Bombyx mori: one gene and its partners. The protein of the gene in region 1 purifies or fractionates together with the protein of each later gene. This does not show direct contact. Links are inferred from orthologs where the notes say so. Each region holds a gene or a part of one and is shown in the gene's direction. Other genes may lie near its edges.

Region 1 (3,987 bases):
AAAACCTTAAGCTCTACATTGGTAAAACTAGATATGAACGAGCAAGTTGTAGCAACGTCAAAATTTTACTGGAAAATTGAAAAACAATTCGATAATTTTGTTGCTAGAGTAAAAAAATTTAAAGAACGGTCGAAAAAATACAATAATAGGCGTAGCCTGGACAGATTAGAGAAGATAAATGAAACATAATTTACTGGTGGTAGGGCGTCTTGTGAGCCCGCACTAACTATTTCTACCGTGAAGCAATAATGAATTTCGGCTTGAAGAGTGGGACAGCCGTTGTATTGTAAAAACTGATTTCAAACTCATGTCTTAAGGTGGGTGGCGGCATTTGAGTTGTTGAAGTTTACGGGCTCCGGTAACCGTTTAACACTAGGTGGGCTGTGAACGCAGCTATCCAACGAAGTAATTAAAAAAAAATGAAAAGTTGATACTCCGAAATATTTCGTGGGTAATGCCTTAATTCATCTTCAAATCTTCTAGGAAAATAATACTTTATCCTCGAAGTAATTTGATCGATCTGAATATTGCATGCAATCCACATTTTAGCGCATGTCTAGTTATTTATAAGGCTTAACTCTATTTTTATACAGTTTATATATGTACAGATTTTTAGTAAATATTGCAATTGTGATTGACTGATATTTTTTTATTTAATACCAATACGTTTCAATTCCTCAAGAACGGGCTTCATTGACCGATTAGTTCATATCTATTAAAGTCTACAAAATAAAAAGTTTTTTTGCCACTAGTTCCAAAAGCTACCAGTAGAAACTCGACACTTTTACGTTGGAGAAGTTACATAGACATATATCTTCTCGTGATGTAATTTTCTTTGAATAAAAGTTTAAAAAACATTGCGCAAATATATCTAAATTAAAATGTAAATGCAACTACCAAATTTTTTACTTAATAGCTTATTCTTTGCTATCAATTGCTTACTGTGATTACGTACCAAGTAGTACTCAAGATAGTCCTCCATAATAGTCAATAAAATAAAAAGTTCGTACAGAACAAAGAGAATATCTCAAAGTAATAAAATACAACTAAATTCAAGATTATCAAGGTTTTCCCTTTCATTTAAATGTAGTAGGTATCTGGTTAGTCTATCTACGATTTCTTGACATTTTTCACACTGCTGCTAGTATGATTATAGATAATACACATAGTATTTGAGAAGTATGATGGTAGCATAGATAATACCGTGCACTGAATGGGAGAAGGTTGAATTTTGTAGCTGTCAAAGTTGAAATCACTGAATTTCAGATAAAGATTTCTGATTACTAGTTTTAAAAAAAGGAGGCGTCAACCCGTCTTTGAAAGTAATATTTAAAAAAAAAGCCATAACTAAACGTGAAAATGGTATACTTATCTCATAAAAAAATATTATTTAGTTCATTACTTGCGTGTAATAATTAAAAATTATTCTAAATTCCCAGATAAGATTCATTTTGATCCAGAACCGAGCAGGCAAGACTCGACTTGCGAAATGGTATATGAATTTTGATGATGACGAAAAACAGAAGTTGATAGAAGAAGTGCATGCAGTCGTCACCGTCAGAGACGCGAAACACACGAACTTTGTCGAGGTAACTTTATAAAGCCTATTTTATCATTAATGACCGCCTAAAGCTTTCTGTCTGCTATAACTCCTTGAAGATATCCTTGGTCACTTGGAAACAATACAGATTAAATCATACTAATCAATATAAGACTACATGAAAGAGTATAGTTAAAGTAATATTAAATGTATAATTGCATTGAGTGTGCACAGGAGTCACTAGGGTCAATTACGTTCCTCCCTGAGATGGTTAATAATATAATCAAAAACAGCTTTTTTTACTGCTTGAAGTGGTTGGAACAGTTCCCTTGCATGCTACACATGCTAAAAAGTAGCAAGCTGAGAATCTTTGAGAACTTCTTTTTCATTTGTATTCTGTACAGTAATTGTTGTTTTGTTGAAAATATTTGGAAACTCTTGACTATAAGTTTGCATCAAAATTGCTGGTATTCCTCAACATTGAGAAGCAATACTTCATGCCTGGATACATAATTTTTCTTTACAACACCCTAAGTCTGGTCTGGTGTGGAGTACTGCTCCTATCTTTGAGCTGAGTCTCCCAAATATCAGCTATGTCCATTGACTACATACAGAAGAAGGCTGTTTGGATTGACGATAATCCCAGTCTGACCGCTTGGAAAACAGGCACTGTGGGGGAACTACAGTTGTCCTTGTTTTATACTGTGCATTCCATGGGAGTACAATGAGGAATAGTTTGAATATTTTCCCAAATATCATCTAACTTTGGAATTAACTTCTCTTCTCAGTGTTGCTTGAGTGCTGTAACATCTTTCTCAGTACTCAGCTATAGGCAGTGAATTGGTTGTGATCCTGGCATTGTATCCATGTCAATGAGTAACAGTAACCACTAACCATCAGGTGGGCTGTCTATCAGCCTATAAATAAAAATTGAAAAAATTACCTATAAGATGCTACAATGTTTGTTTAAAAATAATCTAATGTCTACCACTTACTCTTTCTATTTAATTTTCATATTGCTGTTAACTGTGTTGGTGTCAACTATTCAATTTATTATTTTCAATACACATTTTGAAGCTGCTATTACACCTGTCAGATATCTATCTATACAAGAGTGCTATTATGTCAGTAACATACAGGATTTAATTATTTCTATACTGTTTTGGGTATAACATAACACCCTTTAATCAACCGAAAACATTTTTTGTTGTTCTAGTGGGTTTATATTTTGTCAAAGATGTGTTACATATATTACATTGCAAAATATTAGTTATCCTGTGAGGAGTTCCTAATACTTCTGTCTGTCTTGGTTTTGAGAATTCTTATATATTTAATATCAATATAATACCTATCAATAGCTTAATAATTTTATTGAATATTAAACTATTCATATGAAATTCATACAATACAACAATATCTCTTTTCTACAGTATAGATATACAAAGATATGTTATTCTGTTTACAGTTCAGAAATTTCAAGATAGTATACAGGAGGTATGCAGGTCTGTACTTCTGTATATGTGTCGATGTAAATGATAACAATTTGTGTTATCTCGAGGCCATACATAACTTTGTCGAGGTCCTAAATGAATATTTCCATAATGTTTGCGAGTTGGACTTGGTCTTCAATTTTTATAAAGTAAGTGGAAATACATAAACTGTTATATTTAATGTGGACATTCTTAAAACTGCTGTCAATTATTTTGTGTTATATTTAATAGATAAAAGAAAGAAATTTTTAAAATCAAGATGGGTTGTTAATACATTTCAAGTGGCTTATGTTATAAGTACCTATTTTTGACAAGGTTGATTGGGGTAAAGTGGTCATCAAAGGGTACATTTTGCATGTTTTGATATGTTTAAAGCTAAATTCGATTCTGTTCGTATTTTGTAGTTGTAAAGTTGATAAAAATTTCTTTGAGCAAATTGTAATTGATTAGATCATCCCTCGTGTTTGCCACACACGCCTTCGGCTCGGGTGGCAATTTTACACGCGGGAGGAAATGCCCTACTTTTCTCCCTTGGTGCACAATGTACTATTTTTCCTACCAGGCCGAAAGTTCGACATTGTAAAAAACTTAGCACCCGTGGAGTACCGAACCGAGTTCCAGGGCCGAGGCCCTGGCGAGAGGGTGGGGGGGCGGAGCCCCCCACTCATAAAAAAAACAATTCCTGTTTTTTATTTTTTAAATAAACTACTACTAATTGAATAAGAACTGTCTGATGAACTCATCTTTGCTTAATACTTCACTATTAAATTTTATTGCCTTTTGTTTATTTCACTTTTACACTAAACACAATATTGCAAATTACCCGAGCACAACAATGGCGAAGAATTTTAGGTGCGTGAGAGCAGACGTAGACACTAACGCACATGCGCACTTGTCAGTACCCAGGGAGGAAAAGTTACACTTTCTTCCCTGTACAGCGGGAGGAAAACCGAACTT
Region 2 (4,023 bases), on another chromosome or scaffold:
AGGCCATCGTTGACGACTCTACGTCGGCCGTCTCGGTGCGGTAGCCCGACGGGCCACCCCAGGCAGTGGTGCTGGTGTTCCGGAATATCCCGCTGGACTAGAACCAGCCAATAGGAACGCAATATACCACCAACCGGTTGCTCTCACACAATAGTTTCGTGGAACTGCTGCCATGCAGCGCGCTAGAGCGCAGGTACGCCGTGCGGTAAATGGGATGTGGTCATGGCGCTGGCCCCAGCTAGGTGAGGCCGTAGGCTAAGGCGTAATCGTAGGTAGCCTGGTTCGGGAGGTCAATGGTTTTATTGGTACTCCAACCATTATTGATGACGAGCGTTGAAGTCTTGGACCATTACCTCCACAAATGGTTACTTTGCTCAAGCAAGTGGTCAGTCCTCTCTTGCAAATGCTCAAACTTTTTGGCATGGATGATCTAGTGTGCTCACTGGTTGACAGGGTTGTGTTTGGACTTAATAAAATAAATTCGTGTTGGTAGAAATGGGAGTATTTGGAATTTAAAAAACACAACGTTGAAATGATTAAATTTTGATAGATTTTCTTTGGTTGTCAACACTGAAATTTGTTTAACCTTTGCACAGTAACATTCAAAATGACGACTTTGACGCCAACTGCTGCACCCGGAATTCGGTGAATCAACAGTCCGAAAAAACCGAGATCCAGATCCAAAAAACTGACTTTCTCTACATCTAACATGAAGTTTGTGTGCGAGAGAGAAGGTCCATTCATTAGGTACAGTTTTAAATGTGTTAGAAAGAATAAAACATAATAGTAGAATATCTGTTATGAGTCCAAACTCTCCGGACTATTCACACCCGGAATTCGGCGACCTCATTGTAATCAATGAAACGAGATGAAAATAAATTAAATAATATCAGTGAAGTAATGGGAGATTCGTTAAGCATTTTGGAAGAATCCGAAAAGCTGGATGAAGATTTTGTTTCAATTTTCCAACATGTTTCATTTTAAACGACATATAGAATGCAATTAATAGTTAAAATTAGACGATAATGCCTGAAGAAAAACAGAAAAATAAATCATTTCACGCAACTTGACATTTCATATTCCTGCCAGAAAGTAAATAATATTTATCAGTCATTATGGTCATAGACCTATGTCAGTACCTTCCATGACAGTGCCAAGTACAATTTCCTTTCTTTAATCTTTACTCCTTCACTTAGCTTAGTCTATGACTGGCTGCATATTGATTGGTCGACGAGGAGATGTAAAAAATGGCTGCCTTGCCGTCTCCTACCCAGGTAGAAATTAATAAGATTTACTGAGTTGTTTTTGATTAAATTGCTTAAAGGAAGTTAATTAATCAATTTAAAGAGTCCAGTTTTAGTAAAGTTTAGTGTGTGGTTACCAAAAATAACCGGTTTTAGTAATTTAGTGTGAAGATCGTGTTAGAAACAAATTTATTTGCTTGAATTTAATGTATTGACGTATTTATCCCAACAGTGTTCATTTAATGCCCATTTCGTAGTCAAAGACTGTGCCTCAGTTATGGTGAATAATCTCTTTAATAATTTATTAACCTCTTAATTAGTTGGTTGAATAGTAAATGTTAACAATTAAAACATATCTCGATTAAAAGTAACGCCACCTCAAAAGTGATATAAACAAGTCGAAAACAAATATTATGGTGATCTAAACGGTGTCAATATGTGGACTCAATCGTTACAGGTGGCAGGGACCCACAGCACGATATATGAAGCCTACTATCATCAGGTAAGTGGAGAGTTCATACATACTTACATGTCTTGTTGGTCATTTTGGTATATTAAATAAATTTGTCATCAACCCTGCTCTTGCCTAAGTGATCTACGAGTACATTTGTATACAAATGCATAGTTTAACTCATAGATAATTCGACTATAGCTGATAAATTTTAAAGACGGAATTTTGTATTTATTAACCAATCTAAAAAACCCATCAGATTACATATTGTATTCTCTAATCACTGATGAGATATTAGGAAACTTTAAGTATTTTATTTTCATAAACAGTTCTGAATAAATATTTTAACCATAAATTTAAAGCCGGTCGTCAACTAACTTCCTCCAGGTACTCAGTTGCCTCTGGTTGTTAAATCATTTTTCAAAGAGATGTCAATGACTAGAACAGTGATATTGCAAAGAAATTAATTAAAATATAAATAGATTAACATGTTTGCTGAGTTGGTTTTGCTCATTTTATAACTGTTGGTAGAGTTTATTTTGAAATTTAAATCTTCCTCAAAGAACCCTTCAGTACACTGAAATAGCACATGAGTGGCTATTCCAAGCTTATGATCACTAAGATAAATGTCATATTGTGTAAAATATAGGCATATGTGTATATTTATGTAGGCTCATTTTATGTCACAGTGTGTGTATGTAATTTGAATAGGCTATATCTCACTAAATTATAATTATGCCGTTGGACACTTTTGTCCTCCTTCAAATCTTGCTGAGCTTTACCTACATGAAGCTGTTGTGGCCTAAAGTATAAGACACCCAGTGAATTCATATTGAGTCATGTGACTGACCCAGTATTGAAGTCCTGCAGGCAGGCATCAATTTTTGTGAGGAAACAAGTACTTAAAAATGAGTTCACTTTACAAATGACTTTTGTGGTAAAAGAATAACATTGTCTTAGAAATCAAACTTGCAGAATTACTGGTGGTAAACATTGTAAGATAGATCAGTTCTGTTTAAATTAATGAATAGATTACTTACTCTACCAATTCAATAAAAATGCACAAAGTAAATACCATCTCAGACGTAAGATCAAATATGATAATGAAATTTGTATCTTTGATATATATGGTATATTTTAAGATTAGTTGTGATTGCCAAGAGGTGATAAAAAATGTGAAATCAGATAAATTTCAGTGTTGTGTTTTTGGTCATTGCAGCAACAAATATTTTGTACCCAAATGTGAAATAAGTTATATCTCAACCCTTCTTTACTTTAATGAATGAAATATGGTAATAATTCTCTCCAAATTGTTTCATCATTGGCCGTTTGTTGGTTTGCATTAGATCTATTTTGAGCAAACTTTAAGTCAAAATTTGTAACTAAGAATTCTGATAAATATATTCCTGTAGCCCTAACCAGCTACTTCCAGTTGACTCCATACAGAATATAGCCGTTCGGATTTTGTACTGTATGTTCCACGGAGTGCTCTGAGGAATTGTTTGAGATGATCCCATAATTTCATTTTTACCATCGCATCGCCCGCCACCGATATAGAGTTCATCCATACTAGAGCCAATGTGTTCATCCACACAATTTTTTGCCATGTACCACTAGGGTTTGGAATGAGCTTCCTTCCATGGTGTTTCCCAAGCACTATATGCCCTTCTTCAAATGAGGCTTGTGGATAGTATTAAAACGTAGGCAGCGGCTTGGCTCTGCCCCTGGATTGCTGACGTCTAGGAACGACAGTAACTACTCATCATCAGATGGGCCGTATCCTACATAAGTAATAAAAAAAAGTTATGATTTACAAAATTTTTATACTAGTGCTAGATATAAGCATAGGCCAGTACTGTTGGATTCTTGATTGTAAGTTAAATAACTTAGAGGCTGTGTGCACATTACAACAAGAACAGATCAGGAAATGTGTTGCTCTAAACTGGCTCTGATCTAACATGTTGGTTTCTTCAATTACAGATGCAATACTTCCTTATTGTTCCTTATGTGCTCTATTCAGTGTATTTTCTTGCTTTTTAAATCAGTACTTACTAATATTGGAAATGCAAACATGAATACATAGGCGGCACTGAAAATTTCGGGAATTAATGAAGTGACACAACATTACTATTTAAAAATGTATTTATTGCTTTTCGAAGTATTCTCCGCGAAATTTGACACATTTTTCCATACGATGGAACCAATCATTGAAGCAACCATTCCATTCGGAAGTTGGCGTCTCCAAAATGGCCGTTTTGTAGGCGTCCACAGCTTCTTCAGGTGATGAAAATCTCTGTCCACGCAATTTATTCTTTATTTTAGGGAAAG
Region 3 (4,171 bases), on another chromosome or scaffold:
CGTCTATTTCATAAAAAATTAAATAGAACGAATTGTGAAAATGCAAATTCAACTGCTGATTTATTATCACTCGCTACCAATGACCACCGATTCATCAAATTGCGATAGATAGGCTCAATTATAACCATGTCAACGATTTCTCCAGTGTGGGCTTGGCCAGTCACTTTCAAACAGCTTCTGTGGGACGTTTTTCTTCGTTGTTTCTTGTCGTGATATTTCAATAAGAAGAGCGTTCTGCAATTCTATCTTCTCCCCGCAAAATTTTGGCTGTACATTAAAATGGCTGCCGTGCAGATCACATTGGCTGCAATTTCCTACATCGCTCAATTCGTGGCGGGTTGTAGGAGATAGATTAGGTAAATGGTTTAATTAAATGTCACCCCGATAACTGCTTTGCGGCAAAAATAGATAAAGTGTATTAGTACTTACCAGAGCGGGCTTACAATGCGTCCTAGTATCAATAATCACCCATATTACGTGTGTTAATTATTCGATAAGGAAGCCAGTTCACCCATGGCTACGTGCAGTACGTTTTCCATTGGAAAAATTTGAATCTGCCTACAGGATTTTAACATCCGTACGGATGTTTCAATCGATTAAAATATGCCGGGCGTTTTATCCTTTATATCATGTCTACAAATCATTCTACGCTTATTTTGGTATTTATTTCAAGAAATAAGAAATAAATATGATTTAGTTAAAATGGTTGATATCTGCCAATAAGATAATACTGAGTACATACCTTTGATAATTTTTAATTTTGACAAAATATCTTCATTATTCAATTGGCAATTTATATTTTTTTTATCAAAGGATGTTGTCAAGTTACGTTAAAATGCTTTTCATTAAATTTATTAGATCCTGTAAACTTTTGGAGCCTTGGTATATTGTTCGTGCATTCTTTTACAATATCAGTATTGAAGAGGGAAGCAGCTACTTAACGGACGGTGGCATGACATTTAAAACTTAACCAAGTACCTACCTACCTGGGCAGAAATCGAAAAAAATGTATGAGATTGTCTATTGTTGTGATACGACGTCACGGTGGAGGACGTCATCTTGCACAAGAAAATTATTTTATTATTTATTTTGTTACAAAGCACGTAACATTACCCGACTTACCCGTTATCTTGTGTTTTTTTTTATTTTAAACCATTTCTTAAATTTTGTTGTGAATTTAAATTTCAATAACTAGTTTGTCATGTTGAAAGTGTTTGAAGGTGACGCTTCACGCTATTGTGCGGTGATGTAATTTAAACGATTAGGTGGCTTCGCAGTCATAGGCAGTGCAATGGAGGAATCCTCTTTCACGATCCCAGCCGATGACAACGGCGATACTGAGCTCGACCCTAGGATCCAGGTCAGTGCGTGACAATATAATGTTCTGAGTTGTAACGGTAGCATCTCGCAACTGCAAACATGAGTGTTAACTTTGTAGATTATTTCGCCAACGAGCATAATGGATATGATATATTATATCAAAACATGAAATACGGACTTATAGCAAGTAAAGAGCTCTCCGAATATCTAAGGGAAAGGTCCAATATTGAGGAGACTAATTCAAAATCATTAGCTAAACTAGCAAAACAAGCGAACGGTAACTGCGCACAGGGTACATTCGCGCCCTTCTGGAGCGTTCTCAAATGCTCAGCTGAGAAACTATCTAATTTACATCAGCACATGTTCCAGAAGGTGGGTGAATTGGTCAAAGATGTGGCGAGATATGCTGATGAATTACATAAAAAACATAAGGCTGTCAAAGACTCTGAATCTAGTACTTTAGAAGTAGTATTACTGATACAAAATACTAAACAGGCACTTCAGAAAGCAAAAGATGTCTATACTACAAAATCTGCTGAATTTGAAAAACTCCGAAAGGATAATGCATCTGCTAAAGACCTCGAAAAGGCTGAGGTTAAATTGAAGAAATTACATGAAGACTATTGGCAGCTTGCTGAAAAGTATAATCTTGTAAAACAAGATTTTGAAAAGAAAATGTCTCAAACATGTAAGCACTTTCAAGATGTGGAGGAGGCACACTTAAAACAAATGAAACAGTTTGTTAATGTTTATGCTGATATAATTCAAAACAATCACGATATGATGGGACAGGTGCATCGGGACTTTAAGCACCAGTGTCTAGAGTTGACTGTTGAAAAACTATTAGAACAGTTCTTGATAGAAAAATATACTTCCATAGAAAAAGCAGTTCTCGTTGAGCTGCCCCCAACTTTACCAAAACCCGGTTCAGCTAACAACTCTATATCAGAAGCCGATCAGATATCTACAGTCTCTAATGGCTCTCACAAACCTACGCAGCCAGGAAAAGCTCCCAAAAAAGAGCCATCTTTTGCTACTAAAACATCAAGGAGGACTACTTCACTCCTTAATTTATTCACTCCCAATTTCCAAAGCAAAGATGAACCCACTATCAACATTGAAGGTGCTGCACCATGCTCTGCCCCTTCCAGCCCAAGTGGAACTCCAGCTATTCCGGTAGCTCCAGATAAAGAGGACAACATGGGTCGAACCACCTTGCGGGAGTCCAAATGGTTCTTACGTAGCAAAAGAACTAAGCCAAAACAAAAAAAATCTAAAAAGAAAAAGGATGATAACTCTATGAACTCAACAGCTGACAAGTCTGATTTTGAGGAAAAACAAGAGGAAACACCAATTAAGGAGGATCTGATAAATTCACCTGAAGTAGATGAGGAGGGTTTTTGTATAAGACCAAAAGAAGAGAAAGGCAGTGTATACTCTTCTAGTGATTCTGACTCTGAAGAGGAAAGGGAGCAGAAAATTCATGTTGAGATTAAACCTATAACCAATGGTAGTGCTCCAATGTCTGCTAGTGTAGATGAGCTCAGAGCTACCGTAGAAAATATCTCCTTGTACAAAATTGGCACAACACGTCGGGGTTCTAATGTGAATACAAGCAAAGCAAGCAATGACCTAGTTGGCCTGGACTTCTTCCCGAGCCCAACTGTCAGTAATCCCACATCACCTCAAGCTAATGTGTCTAATCCTTATGCACCTTTACAAGGAAATCAGTCACATGTGTTTGAGAGTCCCACACCCATTTCTAATACTGAAGTTGGTGATTTATTCTCAGAAGTAGGTGAAATGAGTCAATCCAATATTCGAACATCCACCCCAACAATATCTACTATTTCTCTCCCACGTCCACCATCAAGAAGGTCTGATGGAGAATTTCGAACTGCAGGTTCTACAGGCTCCCGTGGTCCTTCCCCACTTACAATCGGCATGGCGGATACTATACCGTTGGCAGTTGCGTTCCATGAAATAATTCATTCATATTTCCGTGGTACAGAAGAATCAAAATGTCAAGTAAAGATGTCTGGAGACATGATGCTTTCTTTCCCCACTGGTATTGTTGGTGTGCTTGCTAACAATCCAAACCCTGCAAAACTTTGTTTTAGACTAAAAAACATACATAGATTAGAAACAGTACTTCCAAATAAACAGTTGGTTACCATCAATCAATCAACATCTACACGTGATACCACTGTTGTAGATTTCAATATGCCTGCTTTGACCTCATTATTGAAGCGACAGTCAGAAAAAAATCCCACCGCACAGTACTTCAATGTAGATATATTAAAATATCAGATAAGACCAAAAACTGGAGCATCCTCATGTCCATTTCAGCTGGTTTCTTATTGGAAATGTGAGAAGGACCACACAGATCTGAAAGTAGATTATAAGTACAATATGCATGCAATGAGTCCTCCATCACCACTTTTGAATGTGTCTGTGTGTGTTCCTGTGAATGGCTCTGTTAAAAATGTAATTGCAATGCCTAAAAACATTTGGAATGAAGAAACTGAACAAGCGTTATGGCGTTTTACCGAGTTGTCGCAACATTCAGAGGACCGTGGCGTAGGATCGCTGCGGGCGCGCTTCGAGCTGAACAAGGGACCCTCTAGCAAGGCCACTCTCTCATCTCAGTTTAATTGCGAAGGCGCCACCCTCTCTGGGATAGAGTTTGAACTGATTGGTGGTGGGTACCGCTTGTCGCTCGTGAAACGTCGCTTCGTGTCTGGGAAATATATTTGTGATAGCGAAATGAACTAATTGGTCCAATTTCGACATGAGCGTGTGCTTTTGTATATGTAATTCTCGTTGTCATATATCCACGTGTGTATGAGTT

The links. The genes of interacting proteins can lie anywhere in the genome.
Region 2: the proteins of AP-2 complex subunit sigma (region 1) and epidermal growth factor receptor substrate 15-like 1 purify together in Homo sapiens (affinity purification with mass spectrometry; 4 studies listed by BioGRID and IntAct, counting the BioPlex papers as one, with this or other methods). This does not show direct contact. The link is inferred for Bombyx mori from reciprocal best matches to the Homo sapiens genes AP2S1 and EPS15L1.
Region 3: the proteins of AP-2 complex subunit sigma (region 1) and F-BAR domain only protein 2 purify together in Homo sapiens (co-immunoprecipitation; 3 studies listed by BioGRID and IntAct, counting the BioPlex papers as one, with this or other methods). This does not show direct contact. The link is inferred for Bombyx mori from reciprocal best matches to the Homo sapiens genes AP2S1 and FCHO2.

The regions. Positions count from the first base shown.
Region 1 is NC_085131.1:681,798-685,784, forward strand, and holds the start of AP-2 complex subunit sigma, read left to right. Parts: upstream 1-1,179; 5' UTR 1,180-1,359; coding exon 1,360-1,362; intron 1,363-1,439; coding exon 1,440-1,589; intron 1,590-3,005; coding exon 3,006-3,179; intron 3,180-3,987. UniProt on the Homo sapiens protein: Component of the adaptor protein complex 2 (AP-2). Adaptor protein complexes function in protein transport via transport vesicles in different membrane traffic pathways.
Region 2 is NC_085125.1:127,916-131,938, reverse strand, and holds the start of epidermal growth factor receptor substrate 15-like 1, read left to right. Parts: upstream 1-1,212; 5' UTR 1,213-1,247; coding exon 1,248-1,274; intron 1,275-1,476; coding exon 1,477-1,524; intron 1,525-1,701; coding exon 1,702-1,746; intron 1,747-4,023.
Region 3 is NC_085116.1:2,412,213-2,416,383, reverse strand, and holds the start of F-BAR domain only protein 2, read left to right. Parts: upstream 1-1,360; 5' UTR 1,361-1,419; coding exon 1,420-4,095; 3' UTR 4,096-4,171. Other genes in the region: SH3 domain-binding protein 5 homolog, read left to right, coding at 1,292-1,360. UniProt on the Homo sapiens protein: Functions in an early step of clathrin-mediated endocytosis. Has both a membrane binding/bending activity and the ability to recruit proteins essential to the formation of functional clathrin-coated pits.